2 linked regions of the Yarrowia lipolytica genome follow. The protein of the gene in region 1 purifies or fractionates together with the protein of each later gene. This does not show direct contact. Links are inferred from orthologs where the notes say so. Each region holds a gene or a part of one and is shown on either strand. Other genes may lie near its edges.

The links. Proteins that work in one complex are often made in the same cells at the same time.
Region 2: the proteins of YALI1_C23818g (region 1) and YALI1_F39550g purify together in Saccharomyces cerevisiae (affinity purification with mass spectrometry; 3 studies listed by BioGRID). This does not show direct contact. The link is inferred for Yarrowia lipolytica from reciprocal best matches to the Saccharomyces cerevisiae genes YAK1 and YPL247C.

The regions. Positions count from the first base shown.
Region 1 is NC_090772.1:2,378,463-2,384,383, reverse strand, and holds YALI1_C23818g (uncharacterized protein), read left to right. Parts: upstream 1-2,528; coding exon 2,529-5,267; downstream 5,268-5,921. Other genes in the region: YALI1_C23873g (uncharacterized protein), read left to right, coding at 1-1,007; YALI1_C23826g (uncharacterized protein), read right to left, coding at 1,178-1,699; YALI1_C23755g (uncharacterized protein), read right to left, coding at 5,551-5,921. UniProt on the Saccharomyces cerevisiae protein: Negative regulator of the cell cycle acting downstream of the cAMP-dependent protein kinase. Part of a glucose-sensing system involved in growth control in response to glucose availability. Phosphorylates POP2.
Region 2 is NC_090775.1:3,953,119-3,957,382, forward strand, and holds YALI1_F39550g (uncharacterized protein), read right to left. Parts: upstream 1,973-4,264; coding exon 710-1,972; downstream 1-709. Other genes in the region: YALI1_F39557g (uncharacterized protein), read left to right, coding at 2,590-3,114; YALI1_F39603g (uncharacterized protein), read right to left, coding at 3,301-4,264.

The DNA.
Region 1 (5,921 bases):
TTACGCGTAAACTCAACGATACCGGGCTGGCCATTGCCGTCTGTCGTGTCTACGAGGGCGACAACGGTCCTGTTCTCAACGAGTTGATCAAGAACGAGATTCTTCCTGAAGCTCTAAAGATGGGTGACCAGTGGGTCATTTACTGGTGTCTTTGGAGCCAGGACCGACGAGGCGATGCCGTTCGATCACTGGTTTCCCACGAGTATCAGGATAAGAAGCGGGGCTCTGCACATATCGTGTCCAACTCGCGGTCGTTCCTTTCCAACGACCCAGCTCTGTTGATTCTGTACCAGTTCCTGCGAGACTCCAAGTTTAAGGTGGTGAGCTCCAACAACGGCGTCACATCAGCCACCGAGCTGCAAAGTGTGTTCACTACTGCCAAGCTATACTCTCGAATGGGCTGCGAGGTCATTGCCTTGAATCTTGTCCGAAACTGGAAATTCAAGAAGGACGAGGTTCCTGAGAAGGCTGATGAGGACGTCCAGGAGAACCAGAAGCCTGACGCGGACTCCCTTGCTGCGTTCAGGGACTTCAAATCCAAACCGGCCCCCATTCCTGCTAGCGAGGGTCCTTCCATGTTGGAGGGATTTGACATGGGTGGTGGTGGGAAAGGAGCTCCTTCGATGTTGGATGGGTTCCATGAGCCAAAGAAGGAGTCCAAGACCAACGCTAGTCATCCTCCTTCTATGTTGGATAGTTTCCAGGAGCCACCTTCCATGCTGAGTGGATATGAGGAGCCCAAGAAAGAAAAAACGTCCAGTGAACCTCCCTCGATGCTGGACAGTTTCCATGATTCTCCGAAGACAGAGGACAAACCAAAGAGCGGCACTGAAAAGAATGGTGTCAATGCTGCGAAGAAGGAGGAGGAGGACAAACCAAAGGCGGATAAGCCCGAAGACAACACTGAGAACGGTGACAAGACTAAGAAGGAAAGAAATGGCAAAAAACCAGCTCCCCCGAGCCAGTTCCAGGAGCCCGACATGAGCGCCTTCTCCTTTGGATTCTGATACATTGAATTACAAATACAATCGCATAACTATATGAATGAAAATAACTTATTTAGACCAATAATGTATCGTGGACTTGTCCGTGACAGACAGAATTACACCACAAGAATGGAACCACGCCTAGATGATTGCTACTGCAACCGACAGCTTCGATGAGCTGGTTGGTTCGCTTATTGAGGCATGTTTCCAAAGCCCTCGTTGATCTTTGCCTTTGAGAAGTCCATTTCCGGGTGCTGTTTTTTGAAATTCTCCAGGAGCTGCTGCTTGCGCTGCTCGTCCGACGTGGGCTGGCCCATTTCCTTCTGCCGCTGGTCGTACATCATCTTTTCCACCATGGCTCGTGTTTCTCCGTCCAGATCACTGAGGTTGGACTTCTCTGGCTCGATCTGGGAAACGTCAATCTTGGGGGCCGTGGTAACCACGTGTGGCCACCATTCCTGGTTGTGGACCTTCTCAATGCTGATGGTGACTTCTCTCTGGTCCTCCACAGTCCACGTTGACTCTTCAGGGGCGATTTTGCCAAACAGATCGCCTTGAAGAACGGGAGGCTGGCCCACGACACCTGCCGAGATGGTCGTGGGGGTGAATTTGATATCCATCTGCTTGCCACGAGTGCCTGGAGGCACGGGGAAGGTGATTGTGATGTCCTGGAGCGTCTGTCGCCACGCGTAGTGTTCTTCTTGGTGGCTCATGTGTGTGTATTGTACTGTCTGTACTGCAGCGTAGTTATGCAGATTAGTTGGAAAGCTAGTTGAAAGGTTTGGAAGAGAAGTGGAAATACTAATAATAACCCAACGGGTAAAAAAAGCTTGACAGACCCCTGCTGTGCCCGCAATTACCCTCAGTAGAATGCGTCATAGATATACTGGCACAGTAGTGATAGGGGGCTCGAGCGCGAGTTTCTGGTAGCAGTATGACAGGACCGAGAGTACCACGGTAGGGTAACCGATGCGACGACCAAGAGCACCCTCCCCCCAGAACACCCCGCTCAAGCGCATTAGTAAGCATTCCGCCGCCGCCGCATGAAACAACTGATGCTACAATATGTGCTCACACGTCACCGCATGTAGTGCAGCAGGAAGTGTATCGAATGGGAGGTGGGAGGTGGGAGGTCACGTGACCGGGACGAATGCGATGGCGGCGACGGACCTACTGATGGCCTTTTCTGGTCCACCTGTTCACCGGGGGGCATTTATTATGTTACCCCCTTCAAACACGCCAAGAGATTGCTTCCACTTCCTTGTTTGACGTTTTCCACTGTGGTCCCCCCCATGTTATGAATTAGACTTTGGTTTGGGCTACACTGACACTCCACATCACCAAGTGTATCTGCACTTGTATCTCTGCCATTGGGACTCTTCCGCCTCGGACCACGCCGAGATTGCGTCTGCACCCTATCCTTCTCACGAGGCCACGTCATTCGGCTCGATCGCGCTCCGCAAACACTCTGTGCCACTGCTCGCTCAACATTCGCTTGTCGATCGGAGTGCAAGCCTGACACCGACCGCCGCCGTGACCGTGATGGACCATTCGCCGTCGCCGCATCACCGCAAAATGTCGTCCAACGGGCACCTGATGCCGTCGCTGATCGGACACAAACAGCAGCAGCAGCATCAGCAGCAGCAACAACAGCAACAACAACAGCCACCGTACCCGACAGACTACTACCGTAAGAGCTTTGAGAGCGCGCCCAACGTGTCGGCCTCGAGCTCGGCAGCCGCTGCCTCTTCAACTTCAGCAGGAATGGGATCTCCGCACATGTCCCACTCACAACGCAGTCTGTACTACCACCAACAGCAGATGGGTCCTTTTTCGCCCTCGCAACCGCATCCGCAGTTCCAGACGTCCATGTCCAACGCCCTGTCGACCCAACAGCTGCCCCACCCGCAGCTCATGCACCAATACGAGCCCTCGTCGCCTGTGTCGACCCGCAGACCCTCACACGAACCCAGCCACTATCCCCCGACGCAGACACAGTACGGCCTGCCCCCCGGGCTCCAGCATCAACAACATTCGTCGCCACATGAACCGCTGTATAGGTCGCAACCCGGCACGCCACTGGCACCTCAGATGCAGCCCGGCACTCCTCTGGGATCAGTGCAAATGTCCTCTTCACCTGTAACGCCCCAATCGGCTTCTTACAACCCCTGGGCGTCCCCTCACAGCACCCCCGCAGGCAACTACGCCCGATCGCGGGTGTCACCGGTGCGCAAAGGCCAACCATCTCAACAACCCCAGCAGCAGCAGCAGCAGCAGCATCAACAGACACCCCAGCAGCATTACAATCCCGCCATGCCGGCAACAAAGCCATACTATTGGACGCAACAGGCACAACAAACACCTCAAACACAACCACCTCCCATCACAGCTCCTCAGTCGGCCCCTCAAGCGGTACACGTGGCTCCTCAGCCCATTCATGCAGCTCCACCACAGCCACCGATACAGCCTCAGCCGCAACCGCAGGAGCCGCCTGCGTCAATTCCTCCTCCATCCTTCCGACCGGTTGAACGGGCTTCTGACCTCAATCCCCAGGTCAACCCAAGACCCCAGAATCGTCGGGCAATCCCCGAGGGCGGCTACATGTCGCCTCTCATGTGTCTGACGTTGCAGCTGTCAGCCACGTACCAGATCTGCAACTCGGGCTTCAACTACGAGTCGTCCAAGAACCCACGCAGGGTGCTCACCAAGCCCAGTGAGCCGAAGCTTAACAATGGCCACGACAACAGAGACAACGACTACATTCTGTACGTTAATGACGTCCTGGGTACTGACGAAAACAAGCGCTATCTGGTACTAGATATTTTGGGTCAGGGTACGTTTGGGCAAGTGGTCAAGTGCCAGAACATGAAGACTAAGGATATTGTGGCGGTCAAGGTGATTAAGAACAACCCAGCGTTCTTAAACCAGAGCATGATGGAGGTGTCGATTCTTGAGTACCTGAATAACTCGGTCGACAACAAGGACGAGCACCACATTTTGCGGCTCAAGGACAAGTTTTTGCATAAGCAACATTACTGTCTCGTGTTTGAGCTGCTGAGTTCTAACCTCTACGAACTTCTCAAACAGAACCAGTTCCGGGGCTTGTCTATCAATCTCGTCAGGGTGTTTTCTCGCCAGCTTCTGGACTCTCTCACAGTGCTGAAAAACGCCAAACTCATCCATTGTGATCTCAAGCCCGAAAACATTTTGCTCAAAAACCTCGATAGTCCCATTATCAAGGTGATTGACTTTGGGTCTGCTTGCCACGAAAGAAAAACTGTCTACACATATATCCAATCGCGGTTTTACCGATCGCCCGAGGTGTTGCTCGGTATCCCATATACCACCTCCATCGACATGTGGTCCATGGGCTGCATCATTGCCGAGCTATTCCTCGGTCTTCCCATCTTCCCTGGAGCGTCTGAGTACAACCAGCTGTCTCGAATAGTGGCATCTCTGGGTGACCCTCCTAATTGGATGGTTGAGATGGGCAAGAACAGCGGCAAGTTCATGGAAAAGATTGTGGACGACCAGGGCCGCAAGCGATACCGGCTCAAGTCGCGGGAGCGATACTCCCGTGAGTTTAACGTGGATGAAAAGGAGTCCAAGCAGTACTTCACATCTGCAAATCTCAAAACCATTATCATGGAGTACCCCTTGCATAAGAAGGATATGAAGCGGGCGGATATTGACAAGGAGATGCTCAACCGCGAGGCGCTGTATGATTTCCTCATGGGTTTGCTCAACTACAATCCCTTTGAGCGGTGGACTCCTCAACAGGCGGCATCTCATCCGTTCATCACCGAGTCCAAGTTCACAGGTCCCTTTGTGCCACATCCCAAGGAAGAAAAGGACGTCTTCCACCCCACACCGACAGCCCAGCCCATTTCGCAGTCCCAGCCTCTACACGCTCAGGGCCAGAACGCCAATGCCATGGTCCCCCCCGGCCCAGCTGCAGGCTCCTCCGCAGCTCAGACGTCTGCTGAGGCGGCGCAGTATGCACACATGCAGCCTCCTGCCAACTGGAGCACCGGTCTGAAGCAGCAGAACTCGGGTTCGGGTTCGAGACGACCGCGAGCGTTGACATATGGATCCATGGATCCCATTCCGCCGCCTATTCAGAGAGCAACGGCTATGGTTAATCCTGCGGACCATATCCAGGCCCAACCCAGTCCCGCGTACATTCCTCCATCAGAGCTGACCAGGAATCACCAGGGACAGGGAAACGAGTATGGTGAGGTGGTGAGAAAGTTGGAGAATGGGTTGATGAGTCGGTGGTAGTACATTTGATGAGTCGGAGGTAGTACAGTTGAGGACGTTGTCCGAGTGCGCTATCGTCGAGTGCGAAGGAGGCCGGTCAACGGAAGACGTAATGCTGTGATTAACCAGCTCAACTACTAGAAGAATCTTTGCATCATGTATAAATGGATTTACATATTTTTATCCCATAACTGGTACTGTAGGCAAGGCAAGATTGGTTTTCCTTTTCGTTGTCCGAGTAATAGTTGTCGTGCCTGATGACAATAATCAGATTCATGTTGAAGCATGCATTATAAATATCTATCTACAGTTTATTTCCCATTTCATCCACGGGGACCACCTCCTGTATCTCCTCGTCCTCATCTCCCACATCCTCGACGGCCTTATACCTCCACTTCTTCGTGGCTCCATTCCACTCTCCAGCCTGTCTCAGTAGCTGTCTCATGACTGCCACCTCCTCCTGATTAGTCAACTTGAGAGCAAACTCGTTGGCAATGTCTTTCGACGACAAGCCTCCTGCTCCGGCCAGTTTGAGACTCTCGCTGATCTTCTCCAGCAGCTTGACCTTGTCCAGATCGCTCATGTTGATCAGACCAGTGTATGCATTAGTAGACTCCTCCAGGGATTTCTTCGCCTTAATGTTTTGCAGAATGGAGGACGAAGAGAACTTGTCTG
Region 2 (4,264 bases), on another chromosome or scaffold:
CGGTTGCGGTGGCGCTGCACGATACAGAGTTTAAACTCTGGGGAGGCGTGCTATGATACGCGAGATGACGTTGCGTAGTGGGCAATGGGAGAGTAGGAGCGGGTGTTTTTGATCCAAAAAAAAATGATAATAATGATGAAATTGAGTCACTTGTGAGAATTATTTAATAAAATTCCAAAAATTTACACCATACGACACTGAAATGGGCCCTACAAGTAGCCATCACTCACATGGAAACGGAGATGAAACTTACAGTGTGGTGTATCAGAGAGAGTGGAGAGGGTTACAAAAATGATACAAGTACAGGTACAGTATCAGAAATTTTCATGCTGTAAAGTTGATAGGTCGTCATTTATCTTGCAAGTACTTGTTGCTTACCAATATACATTTGGTTGTCCTTTGCACCAACTCTCTGTAGCACTGCCTATGGTGCCAAAACAGGCATCTACTGTACATACGTTCTGTATTTGTTCAAGCGGCTAAGCATTGCCCGGATGGTCACTGTACATGATTTACTAATTATACGTACAGTATGTACTGTAAGTACTGTACCAGTACGATCCACTTCACCTTCAACTACTAGTCTTGTAGAAATGCACTCTATTTACAGAAAACTACTTGTACTGTACCATTAGTCTCTGAGAGCTACCCTAAGCTCGTCTACCTCTACCCCAGAAAAATGTATATGCCGTCATTCACCCTTTCAGTCTCAATTCAGACGCACTCCCTGAACACCCTTGTTAGTAACGCTTGCAATCCAATCTCCCGATGCACTCCAGCAAATGTTATTAACTTCGGCCGAGTCCGTGAAGGCCGAGTCCAGATGGTAGTCGCCCGGCACGGCCGTGTTCCACAAGATGATCTGTGAGTCGTCAGACGAAGATGCCAACAATCTCTTTCGCTGTCCTCCTACAACCACGCTCTGGGGGCACCATTGGATGGCGTTCACAGGAGCCTGGTGCTGCTGTAGCACGTCTATGGGCATGCCCGGTTGGCGAATATCCAGAATGAGCACCTTACTCGAGTTGCCTGCAAAAGTAGCCAAAATGTTGCCGTCGTAAGGGCATCCGGCAATTCGCACTAGAGGCGGTGGTTTGGGCGGGTCGTATATGATTGTAGAATGGTCGAGGGCTCGGAGATCGAAGACTCGGACCGATCCGTCGGCCCCAACCGATGCAAACACATCTGTGGACCCCGCTGTGAATTGCACGTCGTAGACCTCTTGGTCGTGGGCAATGAGCTGGGTGCGTGCGGACGATGTATTGAGGTCCCACAGCGTGCATGTCGTGTCTATGGATGAAGTGATGATGAGATGTGGCGCGACCTTGTTCCAGTCGAACGAGGTGATAGGCGAAATGGACCCGGACTTGGAGTTGGACAGCGAACATCGCTGCTGCAAAAACCCTTTGGACGAGTCATACGACCAGATGCGCAGACAGTCACCTGATGTGGCAAACTGGCGCTTTCCCTGAGCATCAAGCCTTGAGTCCCACGCCAGTTTGGTGCATGGATATGGCACCGATGCTTCTGCCGCCAAGTTGAACGAATTGCCTTCTGTGTGCACCACCTGGATTTTGTTCTTGGACTCATCGTTGCACGTGCCCACCGCCAGGCACGACATGCCGTCTGCAGCCGGAGTGCTCCAGCTAACTGAGTACAGCGGCATGGTGGACTCGAAATATGCAGATCTTCGCGGTAGCTGGTAGTCGCTCGGCGCGTACTTCATCCCTGTAGAAGGAGCGTAGGAGCTAGCCTGGGCAGACTGCTCCCACATGTATGGTTCTCCTGGAGCCGCCGACGCGCTGTATCTGCTCGTCTTGGCTGCTGTATGAGGTCCCGACGAACCAGCTGTAGCTTCTTCATCGTATGGATTCCACCCAGGCGGGTATCGCTGCTGCTGGGGCGATATCGGTTGCTGCTGGGCAGTTGAAAAATGCGAGAATGACGACCGCTTTCCTAGAGACGGACGCATTTCCGGGCCCTGGTGTGTGATGATGGATGCAATATTGGGGTGAAGGTGGTGTATACCGGGTGCATTTGTTGGTCGTGAACTTTATGGGGTAGCTAGCGCACGACTGAACATTGTTAGCTGCCAGTACCAATACGCACACGAACACCGAGAGGAGGACATTGTAGGAACAAGAGTGCTACTGGGAAGAGAAATATAATTTAGAGCTCTGAGTAGCAGTATAGGAGTTGTTATTAAACTGGAGATCTTGCTGAAGGGGTCATTTCAGGAGTCTGTCACCACGTCATTGGGCACGTGACCAGAACTAGCGGCGGAAGCACACACGCCAAGATACGAACTTGATCATGATTGGTCATATAAGTACTGTGGCTGTAATTCCTGCCTCTTTCTCCGCACAGAACTGGTTTTGAGTCTACAGGTATCCTTATCACAAGCCTGACAGTCATGGTACGGACTTGTACCCCGCCCCTCAGCTTACACGTGCATCACCAAGCACACTTGGTAGCTGCAAGATAAAGTTGAGCTGGACCTGAGTGAGGATGCACAACCTGTAACCAACACGACCTCAGATTTGTGAGACCACACACATCCTACCCTGCATCCAATAGACAACGACCATCATGTCATACCAACGAAGAATCATGAAGGAGCTGGAACGGCTAAAAACCGCTCCCCCAAACTGTGAGTATCACTACGGACGTTCACCCACTCTTTTGCGCCTATCATACTGTACTTGTACTAACCCAGCACACATCACACTGGTTGAAGCCAATGACCTGGAAACATGGCAGATAGATTTGGAGGTGAACAATGACAACCCGCTGTACACTGGCAAAACGTTCCGACTCCAATTCATCATTGGTCCCAATTATCCGGTGGAAAGCCCCCAGGTGCAATTCATGCCACTGCCAGCTCGACCCATCCCCATCCACCCTCACATCTACAGTAATGGTCACATTTGCCTGGACATTTTGGGCGACGAATGGACACCGGTCCAGACGGTGGCGTCGGTGTGCATTTCCCTACAGTCCATGCTAGGAAGTAACGACAGAGACGAACGACCTCCGGATGACGAACGATACATCAAGCATGCCCCCAAGAACCCCAAACAGACTCGTTTCGTTTATCATGATGACACCGTCTAACCTACTAACTAAGAACATATAAATGCGCAACTATCTCGTTTCTTGTACAAATACACTTGTTACACATCCACGCACACCTGTTCTAAATCATATATTCATATTCAATAAATCAATGCAAAAAATGTAATGCAAATGTAATGCAATAACATGTCTGCCCGTTATTTCAGTATTGTAGGCAGCATAGTATCATGACGTGTATGCAAACTTGTCCTTCAACGACGTGGCTCCACCCTTGGAAACCCCTCTGTTGACCTTTAAGGACTCCCTCTCCTGCTTCAGCAGCTTCAGAGCTGGAGCAAACACCACAAACAACTGCTTGTGGTCCGGAAGAAGAGTCGCAAACTCGCTGTAGCTAGTGGGCAACTCATACGACAGCACCTCCAGCACATCCTCGCTGCACACACTGGAAGGCCGGGTGAGGTTCTGCTCGTTGCAGTGATCAGACCGCACCTCCTCTAATCGCTTGTAGGCCTCTCCTTGGTGTCTCTGGGTCAATGCGGCCTCCGAAAGTGGCCTGTCAAAGAAGCTAGAAGTCGATTTGTTGTTTGAGATCGGAGTGGTTTTGGTAGCGGTTGTGGCTGCACTGCCAGCGGGTTTAGGAGCAGCAGGTTTGCTGCTAGTGCTGGAATCGGATGTCAGGTTGATGGTAGCTGTGGTCTTGACCCTGGAAGGGGTTTTGGAAGCAGTAGTTCTCTGGAGGCCAGCTCCATTGAGGGTCCGAGCCACCGGCTTCTTCGCAGTTGTGGGAGTGCTCGTCTTGGTCACTCTGTTTTTTATACTGGAAGTGGCCGTGGTGGTCAGAAGAGCAGCACGGCTTCGAGAAGTTGGTTTGGGATTGGGTTGAGCGTACGCTCCTGAGGGAGTGAGGGGATCCAGAGAGTTGGTCCTTCTCGCAAACGAACTGGCTGTTTCGAAACCCATAGGCTCGCCTTCGGGGCGACTGTTCGTCCGATTGAGACCAGGCACGGTCTTTTTGCTGCCAGTGTCATGAACATGAGTGACAATTGTCACCTCCTCGTTGCCCTGTAACACGTCTCGCCACAAAGAGTCCGGTCGGAGATACGTACATGCGAATCCGGACTTGTTTCTCTCTGTGTGTGCCCTCAACGCCTTCATCAGAATCAGTTTGGTGATAATTCGTTCCAACGTC